Linked DNA regions of Arabidopsis thaliana. The protein of the gene in region 2 interacts with the protein of the main gene of each other region in a pairwise test. Each region holds a gene or a part of one and is shown on either strand. Other genes may lie near its edges.

Region 1 (6,794 bases), on a different chromosome or scaffold from region 2:
GTTGCCCCCAAAAAAATCTCCGATAAGAAGCAAAATCAGCGTTTTGCAAAATCAATTTAAGCAACGTTTTGGGTGTACGATAAAACGCGAGTTCCACACGGAGAAAACGGTTTAATCTTTCTTTTTGTTTTTAAAAGTGGCGACATTTTATTCAGCCGAGTGGATGATTGGTGGGTGGGATTAATTACTCTGTGTTATCTAAAGTTGATTTATATAATCACACATTTCCTACAACATAAAATTCGTTAAAGCATATTTATATACATATTTTGCATATGTACAAAACATTTTCTTTGTAAAATAATTCGTTTTCCCAAAACATCTTATACTAAAAGTAGAAAAAATAGAAAAGTAGATACTGTTTTTCAACAAAAACCTAACACTAATCATTACAACAATCTATACAGTAGGATAATCCTATTACCTATAGGATAAAAAGATGACTAATGAATAAATTTTGGGAGATTATACAATTAAGTCATGTTCTACATTAACATCTTCTTTCTTGTCATCATCTCGTAGAATTTGAATGAAACAAACAAACACCAATCACTTGAGGAAGCAAGAGAGGATCGTGTAGTGGTGCAAATAATTCCATCTTTGAGCAACTACTTTCATAAACTAAACCAAACAAAAATACATTAAGCTTAACGTTTAATCCATTAGTTTTATATTTTCTGAGTCTACAGTGCCGTTGGTTTGTTTATTCATTCATATCTCTCTCATGTAAATTTGGCGCTCACAAACTGGAAAATCAAAATCCCTATCAGAACAACACCAAGCTGGATTCCGATTTGGAGCATCACGTTCTTCAGAAACGGCCAGGCTTTCTCCGACCATTTCCTCTTCCTTTCCGTGCTCACTGTCGTAGCTCCTTCTTCTTCCAGTGTTTCATCATCATCATTATCCTTTGTCTCATCTACTTCTTCTATAGTTTTAGACTCCTCTCTTATTTCTGAACCAACTTCGGTTATCTCCCCCGGTCTCTTGTCGAATAATCCTTTGAACTGTTTTCTAGCCTTGCTCTCCGCTTCCTGTGAGCTCAAAAGAAAACAACTCAGAGATCTTATATTAAGTAACAAAATTGGCAAAACAAGCCCAAACCATAAGTAGCCTTAATGAACTCGATTCGGGTGGACATTTGGTTGAGATAGTTTTCAAACACTGACCTGTTCCTTCTGCTTCAGTTTCAATAGAGCAGCGGTCGCATCAGCTTCTGATGATTTATCCACTTTGATCATCTAAAACACAGACACATAAGTCAGTGAGTAAGCAGATTTCTGAATCTATTCACTAGATAATGATATGCAGGTTTAGCATAATATACCATATTGAAGTCATTTCTAGCGTCATCATACTCTCCACCTGCAATGTAAGCCATTCCGCGGCGGTATAGACCTTTCACATGACCAGGCTTTGCTTCTAGAACCTATTTGGAAATTGGTGCACAAAAGGTCTCAGAAATCCCAACCTCTTATTCCAGAATCAAGCCTTCTTAAGAGAATTGTTTATTGAATGCTACCTTATTGCATGTCTCTATAGACTTCCTCCACTCTCCCATTTTAAGCAAGCAAGCCGCAACATTCAGATGTAACATATTCTTCAAATATCAGCAGAGCAAGGATACGAGAGCTAGTTAGTACTTAATACTTCTAATATTATCAAATCTAGACGTATCTGCAACTACAAACGTAATGAGAAGATGGAACTCACCCTTGTGTCACCAAATATTTTTCCTTCATCTTCATCTTGTGGGTTAACATGATTAAATTCCCGGAGCACCTGGTTTTGGATTTACCGCTCAGACACAATGAAACAAATGCTAATACTGGAATTGGTTATCACATGACTTCTATTACCTTTTCGTACTTTGCTTTTGCGAGCTCAAATTTTCCTTCTTTGAAAAGCCTATTACCCTGAAGTTCATAGTATAACCAAAAGGAGAGAAGAACCATAAATTAATAGATCTGGTGTGACCTGATTGCAGAAAAGATTAGCTAATAGCAAATTCTGAAGTGATAAAAATTTAGGACTATAGGTCAAATTATAAATGGTAGCAGAATATTTTATCCATACCGTGCTTCTGATTTTATCTGCCTCGTCCATGATGCTCTGGAAGTTCAAGCCAGTCCAGTCCTGAGACAGAATCTCTAGACTTATAAGAAACGGAAGCTGTTTACAATTTCCATGGTAAGTATCAACACTAGACCAACTTACTCTTGGCGTTTCGAAACCAAGGAGTTCAATCTCCCACTGAACATGTGCACCTTCAGACACGCCAGGTGGTCTATCAGAAAAGAAAACATGAAATGCGTTTATTTCTCCGACAACAGTTTATACACTATCGTGTTAGTGTTATTTACACAGTTAAGAGTATAACCTCGGAAATTTGTCATATGCATAATCAGGGGGGCATGTAACAAGAGCAATCTCCCCAGGTAGCATCAAACGAGTACACATCTCAAACCCTTCAGGGACCTGCAAATACGACAGAATAATCTTAACCAGTCCGTGCGTAGAGATATATTTCAACTAAAACGTCTAAAGAACTCCACTAGGTTTTCCTATAAACGTTGGAGTAACTGACCAGTCCTTCTCCTGAACTGAACTCCAACGGTTGATCATTATTGTCAATCTTGCTATCATAGAAGACAGTCTTCTCTTCATTGAGAAGCATGCCCTTGTAGTGAACGCTTAAACGACTATCTTGGAGAGGACAATCCATTGGAAACTCGCCTAATAAGTTGGTCAAACGTTGTAGATCAGAATAGTCTAGCGGATAAACTATAAACAAGAGCTGGAATCTAGCAGATGCCCCAGCAAGATATATAAGAACAAAAACCCGCACCATGTTGAAACAGATAAGAGACAGTTGAAAAGAAAGTGTGAAACATACCTCTTCCATCTCGAATTCGACGTTTTATGAGACGTCCATCTCCAAGCATGTCCCGCACCTTCAAAGCGAGAACTTGAATGTCAGTCGCTCAGTTTCCCAATTCTTAAATGCACAAAATACTGTTTTCTTATTGCATTGCATTTGTCTTTCTTACCTGAATGAAATGTACCAGTTCAACCTCAAAATGAACTTCCTCAAGGTCTTGATCTATATGCAACAAAGGAGATTCAGTCAAGTACTGCTTGCGAACATATATCACTGCCTTCTCCTTCCGAGCCATGGTTCCAATTCCGATTTCAAGACCTTTAGGCACCTGCCTAATTGACGAGCAATAGTCAGAAATGTATTCCACTAGAATGGATTTGCATGGACAGAGAGTAAAAACTGCCCCATAAACTTAACAATTACCTCAGATTTTCCAAATGTGAAGAAATAAGGTTCTTCTGTGTGAGAGAAGATCACGTGTCCATCACCGGATTTAGCAGATATTCTAATATACACCACAGAAATGCATTAAAACTTCACTCAACGTTGCCCCAAATGGAAAAACAAGGTTAAATATATTTTGACCCAAAATGCAGGAATGATCAAGAATAAATTACCTGGCTTTCACTTCATAGGGTTCTCTGGGAGATTCCCAGCCCTCACCTTCATTTAGAATCTTTCATAGAAAAGGAAAGCAATGCTTGAGCCATCAGTACGAACAAGAAATACATCATCCCTGACCCATTTGATATGTCTACATATATGGAAAATCAGGTCCTACCTTCTTGATGACCCCCAGATCATCACTTGCAATCTGGAAATTAACACAAAGGAAAGGAAAGCATAAGTCAAAACAGATGAAATGCAAAATTTCAGAGTCTTTCGGCTAACTAATGCACTGTTATCTTGGTTAGTGATGAGATCTCGCCTTGGCTTTAGAAAAATCCAACAACTCAATCTCAAAATGAAGCTCATCATCTTTTGGAAAATTTTCTGGAGCTGAGACTGGACAATCAATCTCTGCATAGTGCATTTCAGGTTTCATCTTGAACTGAAAAAAGGAAAAAGATAAAGACTTTTCAGCCGTTGAGAATCAAGAAAGTAAGTTGAAATAGCTAATGGAAGATTTGGCGAATCGACTCATTGAACTTGAGGTAAATCAACAAGACCCTCTTCAGAACCCAAACTACGCAGCCGAGTAAAGAGACACAAACGTTATCATTGAGGCGACACTGATCTTTAAAGAGTTTTTAGAGTTACCATTGCAATTTCACCCTTGTGCATCGTGGGAATTCCTTCGAGCAATCCAAGAATCATTTTGCTGTTTCCCAAGACATCTCTGATCGGTACACCTCTCCCTGAAGGAACATCAAACAACACATTCAACGATGCCCCTAACAAAAAGCTAAAAGCAACACCCTACTGAGAAATGTTTCATCAATCAATCTCACCTCCAGATTCTGACCTCGTAGATTCCACAACTACACCATCCAGTGTCCGTACAGTGCAGTGATAAATAACCTGACGAAAAAACACTCATAAACAACCAAAATTGACCACGAGAAGCAAAAACAAAACCAAAATTATTAACCTGATCACCATCAACGGGGCTCGAATCACCTCCTCCAGGTCGCACCACAGCTTTCAACAAGCTCCCGGGAACAATTTTCTTCCTCCTATTCCACATTCAATTTCTCAAATTAATGATCTACTCACTACTCCCAGCAACAACAAAATAAAATCAACTGATTCAAACATAGATTACAAAGAAGATAAAACAATCATGAACCTCTTATCATCTTCCGTTTCGGATTTCTTCTTCTTCGGCAAGTAATTCTGCTCCGTCTGATCGCCTACCGCCATCGCCGATCAAATCCAGAGTTCCGCGAATTAGGATTTTGTGGAACGCAAACCCAGAGTGAAAGATCTACGACATGAAATCGATCCCAAAGCTCTCTCTCACTCCTCTCTACCTTCCTCTCTTGATACTGGCTGGGTAGCTCAACCAACAACAACTGTGTTGAATTGTGAAAAGTCTAGTAAATGTCTTACTGAATTAAACAAGATTAGTTTTTAAATTTTTTTATCAGACATATTGCTAAAAAATACACATATGTTTTTTTAACGGGCTTTAAGGCCAAACGGGCTTCCAATTATATAATAGTCCATGTAATCTGTTTTGTACTTTTTGTTTGCTTCATTTTTGCAAATGGTTACAATTTGTTAAGTTCGATATGAAAATTAAAAAATTGGTTACGTGTACTTTGCCCTAAAAGAAGGCTAGTTGTGAGCTTTCAATCTTAAATAATCTAATGTTATTTGCCTCAAAGTAAAAAACCAGACCGGATCCAAACCATTTTGGAATTATGTTGTATGTTTAATATAGGTGTACATGAGGTACCTCAATCGATTGTGGATGAACATTTTTGGGTCTATAATTTGTACAACAAATGAAACGAAAATTTGGTGATGGGTTGGTAGTTGTTAGTTGAGCAAATATGTTTCTCTTGAAAATTCTTCTATGCATGTGAGAACCAATTCACTCTATTCTGTTTTTTCCTAGCATTCAGAATCCATATAAGGAAAAAGGCCGAGCAAAGAAAATCCAAAATACACAAAAATTGAAACATAATTGGAGACAGATAGTTGCAAATAGGTCAACTTGTTTTAATATTGGTTTGCAGAAGCAGTGAACAGATAGTGACAGAAGAGGGAATACTATACTGTATTAATTTTGGTAGCTAATTTCTTCTCTTGCAAATATAGTTTGTCTTCAATAGTACGAAATTGTAACCTTTAAGAAATCAAGCATTGTAACTTTCATTAAATCTCGCACTTACCAATAATCCATAGGACATGTTTTTCATATTAGCATTTAATGCCATTTAAGCATATCATATGTTTTGTTAATTAGATAGGCCAATGTGGTTTCCGAGTATAACACAGAGAAAATAACTTGAAAATACAAATATGAATACTTCGAGCTTGTGAATCCGAAAATCTAAATGTGAATACAGAAACCTGTATGTATGCAAGCTTTATTTTCTTCAAAATAGTAATCAATCACATAGTTTATAGTATATGTACTATGTTGTTCTTATGTGAACTATGGAAAATGAGGAAAGTGGCATTAATGCGAGTCATGTGAAAGTGCAAATGGTTTTCATAAATGTTATATATCCGAACAATTACCAATAATTTAGTAGAACGATACGAACCGCGTGAAGCAGTCAACATACAAAAACACCCACATGAAAATGTGAGTCCCATTCCCATACTCCCATAGAAAATGGTTTAGATCAGGGTATTGGATTCAGGACTCGAGCAAGACGAATTGTTATTTGATGACTACATTACTGTGCTAATTAGATTATGTGGTTACAAAACTTGAAACAATAATATAGGTCGACGAAAGAAAATACTACTAGTAATAATAAAAAAACTGGACATGATGATTTGGTACTAGTTGTTGGAAACAAACACCGAGAAAACCAATACAACTAAAAACAGCTGCCACAACTCAAATTTCAATACTAATAGAAGTTGTCAATATTTATTAATCTGGAGTAACAAATGGCATAGGACAAACTCTGCACGTTGATCCACAAAGAAGACCAGCATTTCAGCATTTAATCAAAAATCGAGTTATTTAAGTGCTCGTGTGCTTCTAAATATTTAATGATCCATTAATTAATAGGTTGCCAAATTCCTTTCTATACGATTTTACCATTTCACTTGTTTAAATACTACTATATGACCTGAGTTTTGTTGCTAATAACAAGGCTCATTAGGTTTTGGGTATATAGTACATATCACCTTTTTATCTTTTTGTATTGGTTACTTCTGTCAGACTGTCAGTAGTAGTCTCAATGGTAAGTTTTCTTAAGAACATAGTAAATTTTTTTAGTGGATT
Region 2 (4,001 bases):
TCAAATCAATGACCTAGGGTTTCAATACGAATCTCCTTCATATGTAACTAACTTACTAAGGATAAGCAAATAACACATACTACAGAAAAACTGAATTTCCTCAGCACAACAAAGCAAAATTGAAGCATCGTAGAAGATATAACGAAGACGATTAAGTATCTCCAACTTACAGATCGATTTATCACAGTGAAATCAAACTTCATTATCGAATCATCAGCTTTTCTAGGGTTTCTTAAACCGGAAAAATTGACGAAACTGATCGAGATCAATAAAATCGGCTTGACGGAGTATTGAGGAAACTTGACTTCTCCAAAATGGGTTCTCGTATAGAAGAAGAGAGAAAGAAACAAAAGCAGAGGTTTAATGGCGGCGAGAAAATTCTACAAATCTTAGTGCAACAACCATCTGGACGAGAAAGATAAACAGTACGGATTTGGAAAATAGTCATTTACTAATTTGCCCCCATCATTTATCCATTCTCTGATTCTCATTAAACACACCACTTAATAAGCCTTGAAGTGTAAAAACTATATCCACTAGTTCTTCTGTGCTTGATATTTCAGGTTTTGATTTGGTTGCACAGATTTGAAGTAGAAGTGTAAAACATAAACCGTTTACACAAAAACATCATATAATCCTTGTCAATGTCCGAGAAAAGATGATACAAACATAGCTAGGACACTGTTTTTCGCTACTTCCATAAGCCTCTTATTCTAGATAAAACAACATTGCTATCAGAGCCACTACACCTATAATAACATCCCATCGTGCCTTGTTCACTGATTTGATCGAGTATAAACCCACGAAGCAGCTCGACAATGATTCCGTGGCGTCTTTTCCTTTCTTCTTCTGTGATGGTCTTTCCTCTAACAGTGATGACATTTGTTTGTCTATCATGTTTGGTAAAGGAAGTACCCTTATCTCCATTGATGCTGATTCTAGTGTTGGCACTTCGTTTGGTGTGTTCCCTGTCATCACCGCTTCATCGAGATTGATGATTTCGTCTCTTAGGATATCCGCAAAGAAATCCTCGTCATTATCCACCTAAACCACACACACATAACATTCATTAAGAAGAACGACAACAATCAAGAACCATCATACAACAATTAGAAGCCAGGTGACAAAACCTGTAGATTTTCTGATGACTCTGCCATCTCAGCGAGTAGTTTCTCCCCTGATTCACCTGCTAGGTAAAAATCAACCAAGTTGTCCCAATCAGACGGGCTCCCTGAACTCGTAGCGCCATTTTGGACTTTCGCATGCTTCTCGGCTGATGAATTTGGCTTTGGTGCCTTCTGACTTGTACCACTATTGTATTCTTTGTTCCTCCTAACCCGGCAAACAACCATAGCATCATCCTAGAATTTACATAAACATAATCAATCAACTCAAGCCAAAGACAAAACTCCTAAAATTTTACTGTATTCCTCTTAGAGACTCAAAAAGTAGCCAAAGTCACCACCTCTTATGTAATGGTTAACAATTAATCTATAAGAAAAAACAAACTCTCGAGAACAGTTTTACCAGAGATACTCCTTTCACGCAGTACTCGTGCATAATCCAGTCAGTTCTTTCGCCTTTTGGTGCACGACCAATATGGAAAACAAGCGTCCTCTTTGTTCCAATGACCTCAGAACCAGACTTCACATCACGCTCTTTCCCAGTTGCTTTCCAGTATCCCATCTTCGTTGCTCTCCTGTTCTGTGAACCATGTGGATACTTTTTCCCACGCGCACAGAAGAAGAACCACTCGCTATCAGATTTCACAATCGACTTATCTGCAAAGAACAAACACACAAAAAAAATTGTCAATTCCAATCCAAGAGCCAAAAAATAGAAACTTTATATCTTAGGCACCCAAAATAGAGATCTCTCCTGAAGCCTGAAGAACAACAAAATCAAATTCCAAGTAGAAGAAAGACACAAAAGAATCAATTGGTTCGAATTCGAAGACAAACCGGGTAAATCCCAAGGCTCGAAATTGTAAATCTCAAGGTCCGGTATAACCTCAACGGACCTCTCCAAGCCATCCATCTTCCGCTTCAGGTAATACGAAATCAACTCCACATCCGTCGGCGAGAATTTAAACCCAGGAAACACCGTCGACGCTTCCATCGACGCCGCCGTATCCTTAGAAACTCCAACCGCCTTCGTGTCCATGAAGGCTCGCGCGTATACAACAGTCGCCACAAAAAGAGCGCGTAAGAAATCGGCCACCGCCCAAAGAGTAAAATCCGGGAATTTTCGATAACCTGAAGGATTTTTCTTCTCAGTGTGGTCTCTTCTCACTTGCTCAGGGAGCTTTTGAATTGTTATTGGAACACTTCACAGGTGCACACATATGGGTTTTTGCATACGTGTTGCCAAGGCATTGCTTAATCTACGTGTGCATGCCACGTCACTAAACCTAGTTATATTATAGGTTTTATTTCATTTAGACCCTTAATGTTTTTACGTACTCCCAATTTACGACTTATTGTTTAGTGTTTTCAGATAAAGTCCCAATATATATCCGAAATCTTACTATCGATCAATCGCTCACAATTATATATCCCAAAATATCTTGTTCAGGATCTCGTAATCAACAAGCGTTACCTCAAAGTTTTTGTTGATTTGAAGCTTAAGGGTTAACCACTTATCATTACAAGAAAACTTATCCTTCTTGATGGATTTCAACTGCTCCACAAGACTTTCCATATAGTTAAGTTTAATCAAAAACTCATGTTCAAAAAAGCTAAACAAGAAAGGTGAATTTTCGCAAATCTCCCTCCGTAAAACCTCGTACGTCTTCGAAATAGTATTAGTAGTAAAATCTGTGGACTATGTTTCTGTGTCAAGGTACGACAGGGAAAACGAAATGTATGAGTGAACTTTATTGTTGTTTCCATGATGAAATGGGGTTACAAATTACGATCAAATTATACTCAAATCATTATTTGTAAAAAAACTAAAGTGATATTAACGTGGTTAACTCTGTTCTGTTAATTTTTTTGGTGATGTGAATCCAAAAATTACTTTGAAAGTTTCTCGTACAATTAAAAGTTTAAAGTTGATGATGAACGGAAACTATAAACAATCATAACAAGAAATTCTCCAAATTATTTCAGCAACAAATTTATATTTTGTCAAGATCAACAATGATCGATAACGATAATATGATTTAAGAGTTTTTTCATACCAAAACTCTTTAGAATTAAAAATCCTCCTTTCATAGGCCTTTGAACTAAAAAATAGAACTCTTCAACAATATTTTAGTCAAAAGCTAATGATACGTGAAAGAGTTCGATACCTTTTATAACACCATCCAAGGATATAGATCAAGTCTAAAACTAAGAAAAGAGATAAACATCTAATCTTCTAATCCTCATACCTTCGAAAAGTAAACAATAATTAATATTGAATGCTAACAAGTAACAACCAAAATATATAAACAAACGCTTTGTTTGGTTTTTAAGGTTGGTTTGTTATCGAGGGGGTATTTTATCTTTTGAATTTTGTAAAAAATCTATAAATATAGGTGATGATTTTAGAAAAAAATGAGGATTTTTTTACACATTTTGGCATTTCCCCCTACAGTTAAAAAGAGAGTAAAAATCAAAATATATATCATGTGTTGTACAAGTAAACACCTACCAACCAAGCCCATCAAGAAGATACTACTACTAGAATCACTCATTTCCTCTATATATCTTATTGGTGACAAACTGACCAGTCACCAATAAATGTCTCTAGTCACGGCGGCTCCTCCGGTCAACATCGATCAAATCTTTCCCGTGGTTGACGTATACACTTGCGATTCTTCCTCCATCGTACAATATGCATGCATATAAATACCAATATAGGTGATGGTTATTGTAAATGTTTTTAGAGAAAATGAGGATTTTTTAAACCCATTTTTCCCTTCACTAAAAAAGAATCGACACACAAAAAGAGAGAGTTTATAAAATACACGATAATATCAAAGTTAAACACACACCAACCAAGTAAACAAGATACAA
Region 3 (3,459 bases), on a different chromosome or scaffold from region 2:
GTTCTCGCCATTGATTTTTACTGCTGGAGAAATCGCACCATGAGAGAGAGAGAGGAATCGTAAAATCGGAAAAGAGAATCGACGAAAACTGCGATTATGAAAGTCACCTGCTGAGAAATTTCCCGCTAGATACGAAAAGATTAGAAGATTGGAGCGGAACTTTTACTTTCCCGCTCGACACTCAAATTTTGATTTTAAAATCGAATCTGCTTCACAATTTGTTTCAGTCAAGAGTCTCTCTGAACAACTTATTACAATTTGCACTAAACCTGTGGCTTCACATAGAGGGTTCGACTCGATTGTTAGCCTTCTTTAGTTCCTGTTTTACCCCTGGTCTGTATACAATATTACATTCAAATATGTACCTGTTTGTTTAGATGAAAATTGGAAACAGAGGGGAATAGGTTTTGTGTGTTTTACCGTTAAACCTCAATTCAAAATCTTTGTCTCTCTCTCTCTCTCCCAATTTATGCTCATCTTTTCAAGTTAATGAAATTGACACAGTTTTTCAACTTTCTGCCTCAGATTCTTTACAAGTTCTCAGCATCCAATCATAGGTTCTGTTCAATAGAGAAGTGGAATCTGAAGTCTACAGAAACATCTTTTGTGAACTATATATTATACATCATAAACCATTCACATTTACATTGTTTACAAAAATATCTACAAATAACAAACCACCAGGAGATATCTTACATCAAAACTTCACCATTGGGACAATATGTACATCTTTTTAGACTGGTCATTACCGAGGATAGATATCTATATATATATCTAGGCCAAACCAAAAAAATCCTGAAGAATATTGATTATATCACAAACTGGAATTGATACTTCACTTCAATGCCCTTGTTCATTGATTATGTAGTTCACTGAGTAATGTCCTGAGAAGCCAATCTTTCAGAAACATCTGCTAGTGACTTGAGATTACATCTGATAAGTGCTTCAACAAAGTAGCAAGTCTCATCCTTTGTGTTACCTTGAGGAACATCAACTACAAACGATTCAATCACCATCGTTCCTGCTCTTCCCTCGATTATCTCCGGATGAACCGTCAAAATCGACGAGTAATTCTGCAAACAAACAATCAATGAGAATCTGCATATAAACAAACATCAATGAGATTTGATTTCTCTCGCTGTACCTTAAGTCTGTGATCACCACCGATGATTTTGATACCGAGGATGTGTTCTTCATCATCAAGAAGTTCTAATCTCTCAGTAGATGTTGTTGCAGGAAGACCAGATTTAACATTGACTTCTCTAAGACTGCCGATTTCAGGATCACCGATTACTGTACATCTGCTCACAAACGGTTTGTATTTCTGCGGCTGATCAAATCTCCGTACAAGTGACCAAACCTAAAAAAAATCAATTATAATCAATCGTTAAACAGAGATTTGGGGGAAAAAACCCTAAATCGATGGTTGGGATCAAAATTGACGGATCATGGAGAAAATGGTACGAAAAGGGTGAAATTAGTGGTAGATTGGAGAAGCTTACGAGATGAAGAGGAGCTTTGATGTGTTTGACAAGAGCAGAGGTACACTGGTTTTCTCTGCACAGATGTTGATGATGCGTCCGTACGTATTGCACCGTCTCGAGACCACCGTACATCGCCGTGCCGCCTTCAACGCCGTCCATCATATCTCTCTCTCTCTCTCTCTCTTTCGTTCTTCGTTGTTATCTCACAAGGGAGAATCTCTGGAAATGGATAATAAATACAAGGAAGAAGAAGAAGATGCTTCGTTATGCCAAAACAAAATTACTTGTTTATGTTTTTTGGTTTCTTTTAATGAACCCACCGACATAATAACTTTTTACTTTTGTACCTAAACTCTTTTTTATAGCTTCCTTCTTCTCCTTCACACATTTTCAGCTTTTCAAACCAAACAAAAACACAACAAGATACTAATTTTTTAATGTAACAAAAAAACAAAATATTTAAGCAAGTTTTATTGTATGACGTTTTGGGGACCTATATAATCCGAACAAAACAAAACAGATTGCTTAGATAATTATTTGTTTTGATTAGGTAAGATCGTTTCAAACTTTATAGATAGTTTTGTTAATTTAAATTCAATTTTAGACCATATTCATTATAATAGCTAATTTTTTAGACACAAAATGTCGTTAATATACCAGAAATTTATAAATGAGTGATTCTCCATGTATCAGGTCTCATATGTCTTAGACCACATCTTATTAGATATAGCTCTCGTTGCCTTTAAACCTTGTTGTTAAACATTAATTAATTGTATCAAGCTAAATGTCTAACACCATATCCTATCTGCAAAGTGACTGTTCCATGTAGTCATGTACGACACGTAAGGTGTAATTTCTCTTCTAGGAGGAGAAGGCATTTCTACAAGAAGATTGGTACAAGGCATCCACAATCTAAAATCATGAAACAAGAACTTTAATCTGTTTGAGACAAAGTCCTTAATTATATCATACCGAATGTAGACAAACTAGTTTTTGTTAAATTGTATTTGTTGTGAATCACACCTCATACGAAGGAAAGATGAGATACCACAAAGAATCTACAATAAATCATCATTCGATTCATCTCCACTAGTCTAAAGTTGCCCCTCCTCCATCTTCTTCGTGAAACTCAAGCTTTCGAAACATATGGTGGAAGTCACTTTTGATAACCACCGCCGCTAATTACGCTTTCTAACCAGTAATATTAATGGATTACTATATAATTAGTGAATTCTATTTCTTTCTTTTTTGAATTCTACTTTTGTTTTTCCCAAAGGAGAAAAGACTCACCTTTACTTGGTTTTCTCAAACAAAAACAACATAATCACTTTTTAGATAAATCTAGTTAAATGATTACTTATCTAATTATCTTCTAACATATGTATTAATTATGGTTTAAGGTTTTCATAACGAACAATCTTCCGATTTTGTAACCATTTTAAACAACACATATAATTGTAACCGGAGGTTTTCTTGTTCAATATGAATATGGTTTATGCTTACATATCTCATTAATTGTCTGAAATTGACGTTATGATAAAATAGGGATTTAGTTTATATATAACATTTTCTGCAATCATATTTTTTAAAAAATGTTAAGTGATAATATAGTACTTAAAAGAGCGGTAATTGACGATAATTACAGTAACCTTATCAGATAAAAATTTACCCAAAACAAAGCTTATCGGATAGGATCACCTTTGGCACTAGCTAGGCATGCGAACTTAAACGCAAAAGACGACTTTGGCGTAAATTATTAACTGCTTCAAGATAAAAACAAGGAGCCTTTTTAGTGACAGCGACAATGAGCTAAATACGGTTAAATAATAGGAAACCAATATACGTGTCATATTTTCATTGGTTTATTGTCTGTCATTTTCATGTTCACGTATTATGTCGTTTCTCGTGAACTTGACACGTGTAATTCTTCTTTTTGTTCATTTGGATAACTTTTTTGCCGGCCAATAGGTTCCGA
Region 4 (4,061 bases), on a different chromosome or scaffold from region 2:
CACTGCTCTTGCATGGTAGATCTGCTCGGGAGATCGGGTTATCTTGATGAAGCCTGGGACTTCATTCAAACAATGTCATTAAAACCCGATGCAACTATTTGGGGTGCTTTTCTTTCATCTTGTAAGATTCATAGAGACCTAGAACTCGCGGAAATCGCTTGGAAGAGGCTTCAAGTACTAGAACCACACAATTCAGCTAACTACATGATGATGATAAACTTGTACAGTAATTTGAACAGATGGGAAGATGTTGAACGTATACGGAACTTAATGAGGAATAACAGGGTGAGAGTCCAGGATCTGTGGAGCTGGATTCAGATAGATCAAACGGTTCACATCTTCTATGCGGAGGGAAAAACACATCCTGATGAAGGAGATATATACTTTGAGCTGTACAAATTAGTCTCTGAGATGAAGAAATCAGGTTATGTGCCAGACACAAGCTGTATACACCAAGACATAAGTGATTCAGAGAAAGAGAAGCTGCTTATGGGACATACAGAGAAGTTAGCAATGACGTATGGCCTTATCAAGAAGAAAGGCTTAGCTCCTATAAGAGTGGTCAAAAACACGAATATATGTTCTGATAGCCACACCGTAGCCAAATACATGTCGGTTTTGAGAAACCGTGAGATTGTTTTACAAGAAGGGGCAAGGGTTCATCATTTCAGAGACGGAAAATGTTCCTGCAACGACTCTTGGTGATAATATAGATACTACCTAGCTCTGTTTTTTCTAACAATGGTGCGTAAATACAGACACTGTCCAACAAACACCAGAAAACAAATTACATCAAAACTTTGACTGCATGCTCGAAAATGGCCCATGGAGCTGATCTGAGTAAAGCAGCAGAGAAGCATGATCACACGTGCTTCTATGAATCTAAATTTCCTTCACTGAGTTTGTTCGTGGGACTAATCTAGCCAAATCTTCAAAGGTTGGTTTCTGTATGATTCTTCTCTCTGTATCCATTGGAAGCGTTACAGAAAGTTGCGATGGAATTGGTAATGTCTTGAGCAGCCAATCTTTCAGAGACACAAGCCAAGGATTTGAGGTTACACTTTATGAGTGATTCCACGAAGTAACATGTATCATCTTTGGTGTTGCCTTGAGGAACATCCACAACAAAAGACTCCATCACCATAGTTCCTGACCTTCCATCAATCATCTCCGGATGCACAGTCAAGATCGAAGAGTAATTCTGCAGAAAACAATAACCATTATAGCAACCGCTAATGTTTCTGAATACTATGAGATTTGGATTTAGTCACCTTAAGTCTATGATCACCACCAATGATGTTGATACCGAGGATGTGTTCTTCATCATCAAGCTGTTCCAATCTCTCTGTACTGGTGGTTGCTGGAAGACCAGATTTGACATTTACTTCTCTGAGACAACCGATCTCAGGATCACCATTTACAGTGCATCTGCTTATAAATGGTTTGTATTTCTGCGGCTGATCAAATCTCCGCACCAGTGACCAAACCTGAATCATATATGTATATTCACTATCCTTAGCTTTAAGACTAAGAGAGACCAACAAGTAAACTAAAAAAAAAACGAGAATTTGCAAACAAAAATAGAAAGATCGGGAACCCTAAATCCGGCGAAATTTCATTTTCCCGGTGAATCAGACAGAATTAACTTCAACAAAGTACATAAAGAAAACAGAGAAAGAAAAACAGAGGATGAGAGAATAGAAGAGCGTACAAGATGAACAGGAGCTTGAATGTATTTGACGAGAACAGAGGTACACTGGTTCTCTCTGCAGTGGTGAAGATGACGCAACCTTAAGGACTGTGCCGTCACTAGAGCTCCGTACATCTCTGTATCTGTATCGTCTCCTCCGATCATCTCCATCTCCGACCAACCAGATATCTCTTATCTTCTTTCTCTTCTTTCCTTTTGAGGAATCTTGTTGGAAGTGGATATAATAGAAGCAAACAAAGTAAAGCTTCGATTTTTATTTATGTTTGGTTGGTTAGGCTAAGAAAATCAACGAAGACACCGACATATATTAATCCACCAACGGATTTACGATGAACCGACAAATCTTTAAGATAGATTACGTGTCTTAGTTTAACTGGTTTGTCGTCTACCTTTTTGGATTAGCTGTTGACTTTAAGCACGTGTGTATATCTCTCTTCTCCTGCCAAGTAAGCTTCCCAATTTTTACGACACCTATCTATCTCCGAAGTATGATCTCATCTTCTCTAAAAAGTAGATAGATAAAAGAATCTTGTGAGAATCTATCTTATTAGATAAAGATTGTAGCTGATGTCAGCATGAGATCACAATAAAACTCTGTTTTGACCCGATTTACACGTTCCAATTCACCGACTTCATTACCACAAAGGCTTTGGACATATTAGCTTTAGCTGTTTCCATCGTCTCCTCAGCTTCTTTCACCATATCTGCCGCCATTGTCGCCGTTTCTCCCGCCTTTGTGGCCATAGCCGCCACTTTTTCCACCATTGTTTCAATCTCCTCCACCATTTTTACAACCTTTTGCGCTACGCCCTTGGCGTCATCCGCCATTGTCGATGCCTTTTCTAACATTGCTGTCACTTCCTTTACCATGGCTACAAAGAGACATCACCGAGCGAGTTTTGTAAGAGTAGGTTTTTGGTGTCAAAACAGAGAGTTTTGCGTTTTTAACAAACCTCTGGCTTTCTCACGTTCTTCCTCTATTCTTTCCTTGATCTCCACGGCTGTGTCGAAAAGCCCTAGAGTTGGCTCGTTACACACAAAACAAGTATCGTTCTCAGTGTGATGCTGCATTATGAAAAAAAATAACAAGGAAAATCTGTTTTGAGTGTGTTTTCAGAAATTACGAAACTTGTTGTAAGGAAAAGATTACCTTTAGAGCACACTTGTCGCAGAAGTAATGGTTGCAGTTGGTGACAACAGGATCCAAGAATGGGTTTTGGCAAATGGAACAGGCTAAGGGCAATGCATCATCATCCTCTTCCCCTGTTAGCACAAAGTCAGTTTCAAGCTTCCTCGCTGTTTCTTTTTTTATCTTCTTCTCTAGTTTCTCTAATCTGGAGCTTTCGTTATTCGAATCTTCATCTTCTACTGCATCAAGATCTCTTTTCTTTAAGTTTTTAGTCATTTCACCTTCTTGAGTCTCTGTTTCTTGCTCAGCAAGTTGAGATTCTTCCTCCGACGTTTTAGCTTCATCAGAATCTGACATTCTATATCAAATTAACAAGTCAGGATTTATTCTCTGAATGAAACATATACGGATTCTAATTTCGATTAGATGTTATGACAAATCATACACTCTAGAGATCTGATTACCAAATTTAGTTCGAAAAGAGAAATAAGAAACATGATTTCAACTAATTTTAACCAATACGTAACCTAATGAAAACCCTAGTTATTAGATGATTCTAGGGAATGTAGAATCAACCCTTTTACTGAAAATGGCGGCAAAGTTTCTGACTTCGAAAGAAAGAACGGAGAGAAGAAGATTTGAAAATAACCAACCTCGCAGTAAGAGTAAAGCAGTGATGATCAGAAAACATCGCCGGAGATAATAACATCGGCGGTGACGACGCCTTCACGGTGAGAAGAATATGAAGAAGAAAGAAGTTGCAAAAAGATTTGGGGACACTGAACAGTTTAGTTAGGCCGGTGGGTTCGATTCGAATATCGAATTGGGCTTTTAATTAAGGGTAGGCCCATCAAATGTTTTTTTGACTCTTAAGTTAAGGCCATTAATGGCGATGTCTCTGTATGTTAGGAAGTAGTTTTCTTTCAACTTAGTAAACTCTCTGTAGACATTTACGCGTAATCAGTGATGTAGCGAGTCAAGTCCCAAGTCTTTCATTTACAACAATCTTTAGTTTATTTGGCATCCGGATTAGAATATGATCGGTTCATTCAATTGGTTAAAGAAGGTACTATACCGAACTACACTATGTTCACATATATGTACACATTAAGCAAACCAGATGTTACAGGATATAGATACATGGGTCCAGTCCGGTTTCAAAGCCTGTGAACAGGCTGGGCAACAGGGTGCTCTGGGACACCTAACTCGACTAATCCGATT

The links.
Region 1: the proteins of NAC089 (region 2) and PAS1 interact in binary tests that used the Arabidopsis thaliana proteins (3 or more experiments, as listed by UniProt).
Region 3: the proteins of NAC089 (region 2) and RCAR1 interact in binary tests that used the Arabidopsis thaliana proteins (3 or more experiments, as listed by UniProt).
Region 4: the proteins of NAC089 (region 2) and PYL7 interact in binary tests that used the Arabidopsis thaliana proteins (3 or more experiments, as listed by UniProt).

Annotation. Positions count from the first base shown.
Region 1 is NC_003074.8:19,998,992-20,005,785, reverse strand, and holds PAS1 (FKBP-type peptidyl-prolyl cis-trans isomerase family protein), read right to left. Parts: upstream 4,966-6,794; 5' UTR 4,745-4,965; coding exon 4,671-4,744; intron 4,558-4,670; coding exon 4,473-4,557; exon of another isoform or gene 4,403-4,472; coding exon 4,333-4,402; intron 4,240-4,332; coding exon 4,142-4,239; intron 3,933-4,141; coding exon 3,810-3,932; intron 3,696-3,809; coding exon 3,663-3,695; intron 3,558-3,662; coding exon 3,499-3,557; intron 3,387-3,498; coding exon 3,305-3,386; intron 3,210-3,304; coding exon 3,051-3,209; intron 2,955-3,050; coding exon 2,897-2,954; intron 2,737-2,896; coding exon 2,588-2,736; intron 2,479-2,587; coding exon 2,381-2,478; intron 2,288-2,380; coding exon 2,218-2,287; intron 2,137-2,217; coding exon 2,077-2,136; intron 1,917-2,076; coding exon 1,860-1,916; intron 1,783-1,859; coding exon 1,714-1,782; intron 1,601-1,713; coding exon 1,523-1,600; intron 1,430-1,522; coding exon 1,328-1,429; intron 1,242-1,327; coding exon 1,170-1,241; intron 1,035-1,169; and 3 more. UniProt on the Arabidopsis thaliana protein: PPIases accelerate the folding of proteins. It catalyzes the cis-trans isomerization of proline imidic peptide bonds in oligopeptides. Essential protein regulating cell division, adhesion and elongation throughout the plant development and embryogenesis.
Region 2 is NC_003076.8:7,375,336-7,379,336, forward strand, and holds NAC089 (NAC domain containing protein 89), read right to left. Parts: upstream 2,442-4,001; 5' UTR 2,164-2,441; coding exon 1,962-2,163; exon of another isoform or gene 1,782-1,961; coding exon 1,528-1,781; intron 1,362-1,527; coding exon 1,131-1,361; intron 1,045-1,130; coding exon 709-1,044; 3' UTR 504-708; downstream 1-503. UniProt on the Arabidopsis thaliana protein: Transcription factor involved in plant cell division.
Region 3 is NC_003070.9:140,325-143,783, reverse strand, and holds RCAR1 (regulatory component of ABA receptor 1), read right to left. Parts: upstream 1,915-3,459; 5' UTR 1,647-1,914; coding exon 1,503-1,646; intron 1,361-1,502; coding exon 1,145-1,360; intron 1,074-1,144; coding exon 870-1,073; 3' UTR 523-869; downstream 1-522. Other genes in the region: HTR12 (Histone superfamily protein), read right to left, coding at 1-11. UniProt on the Arabidopsis thaliana protein: Receptor for abscisic acid (ABA) required for ABA-mediated responses such as stomatal closure and germination inhibition.
Region 4 is NC_003075.7:444,980-449,040, reverse strand, and holds PYL7 (PYR1-like 7), read right to left. Parts: upstream 2,064-4,061; 5' UTR 1,862-2,063; coding exon 1,712-1,861; exon of another isoform or gene 1,488-1,711; coding exon 1,272-1,487; intron 1,202-1,271; coding exon 932-1,201; 3' UTR 706-931; downstream 1-705. Other genes in the region: AT4G01030 (pentatricopeptide (PPR) repeat-containing protein), read left to right, coding at 1-705; AT4G01023 (RING/U-box superfamily protein), read right to left, coding at 2,321-2,583, 2,665-2,776, 2,862-3,198, 3,494-3,549; AT4G01020 (helicase domain-containing protein / IBR domain-containing protein / zinc finger protein-like protein), read right to left, coding at 3,998-4,061. UniProt on the Arabidopsis thaliana protein: Receptor for abscisic acid (ABA) required for ABA-mediated responses such as stomatal closure and germination inhibition. Inhibits the activity of group-A protein phosphatases type 2C (PP2Cs) when activated by ABA.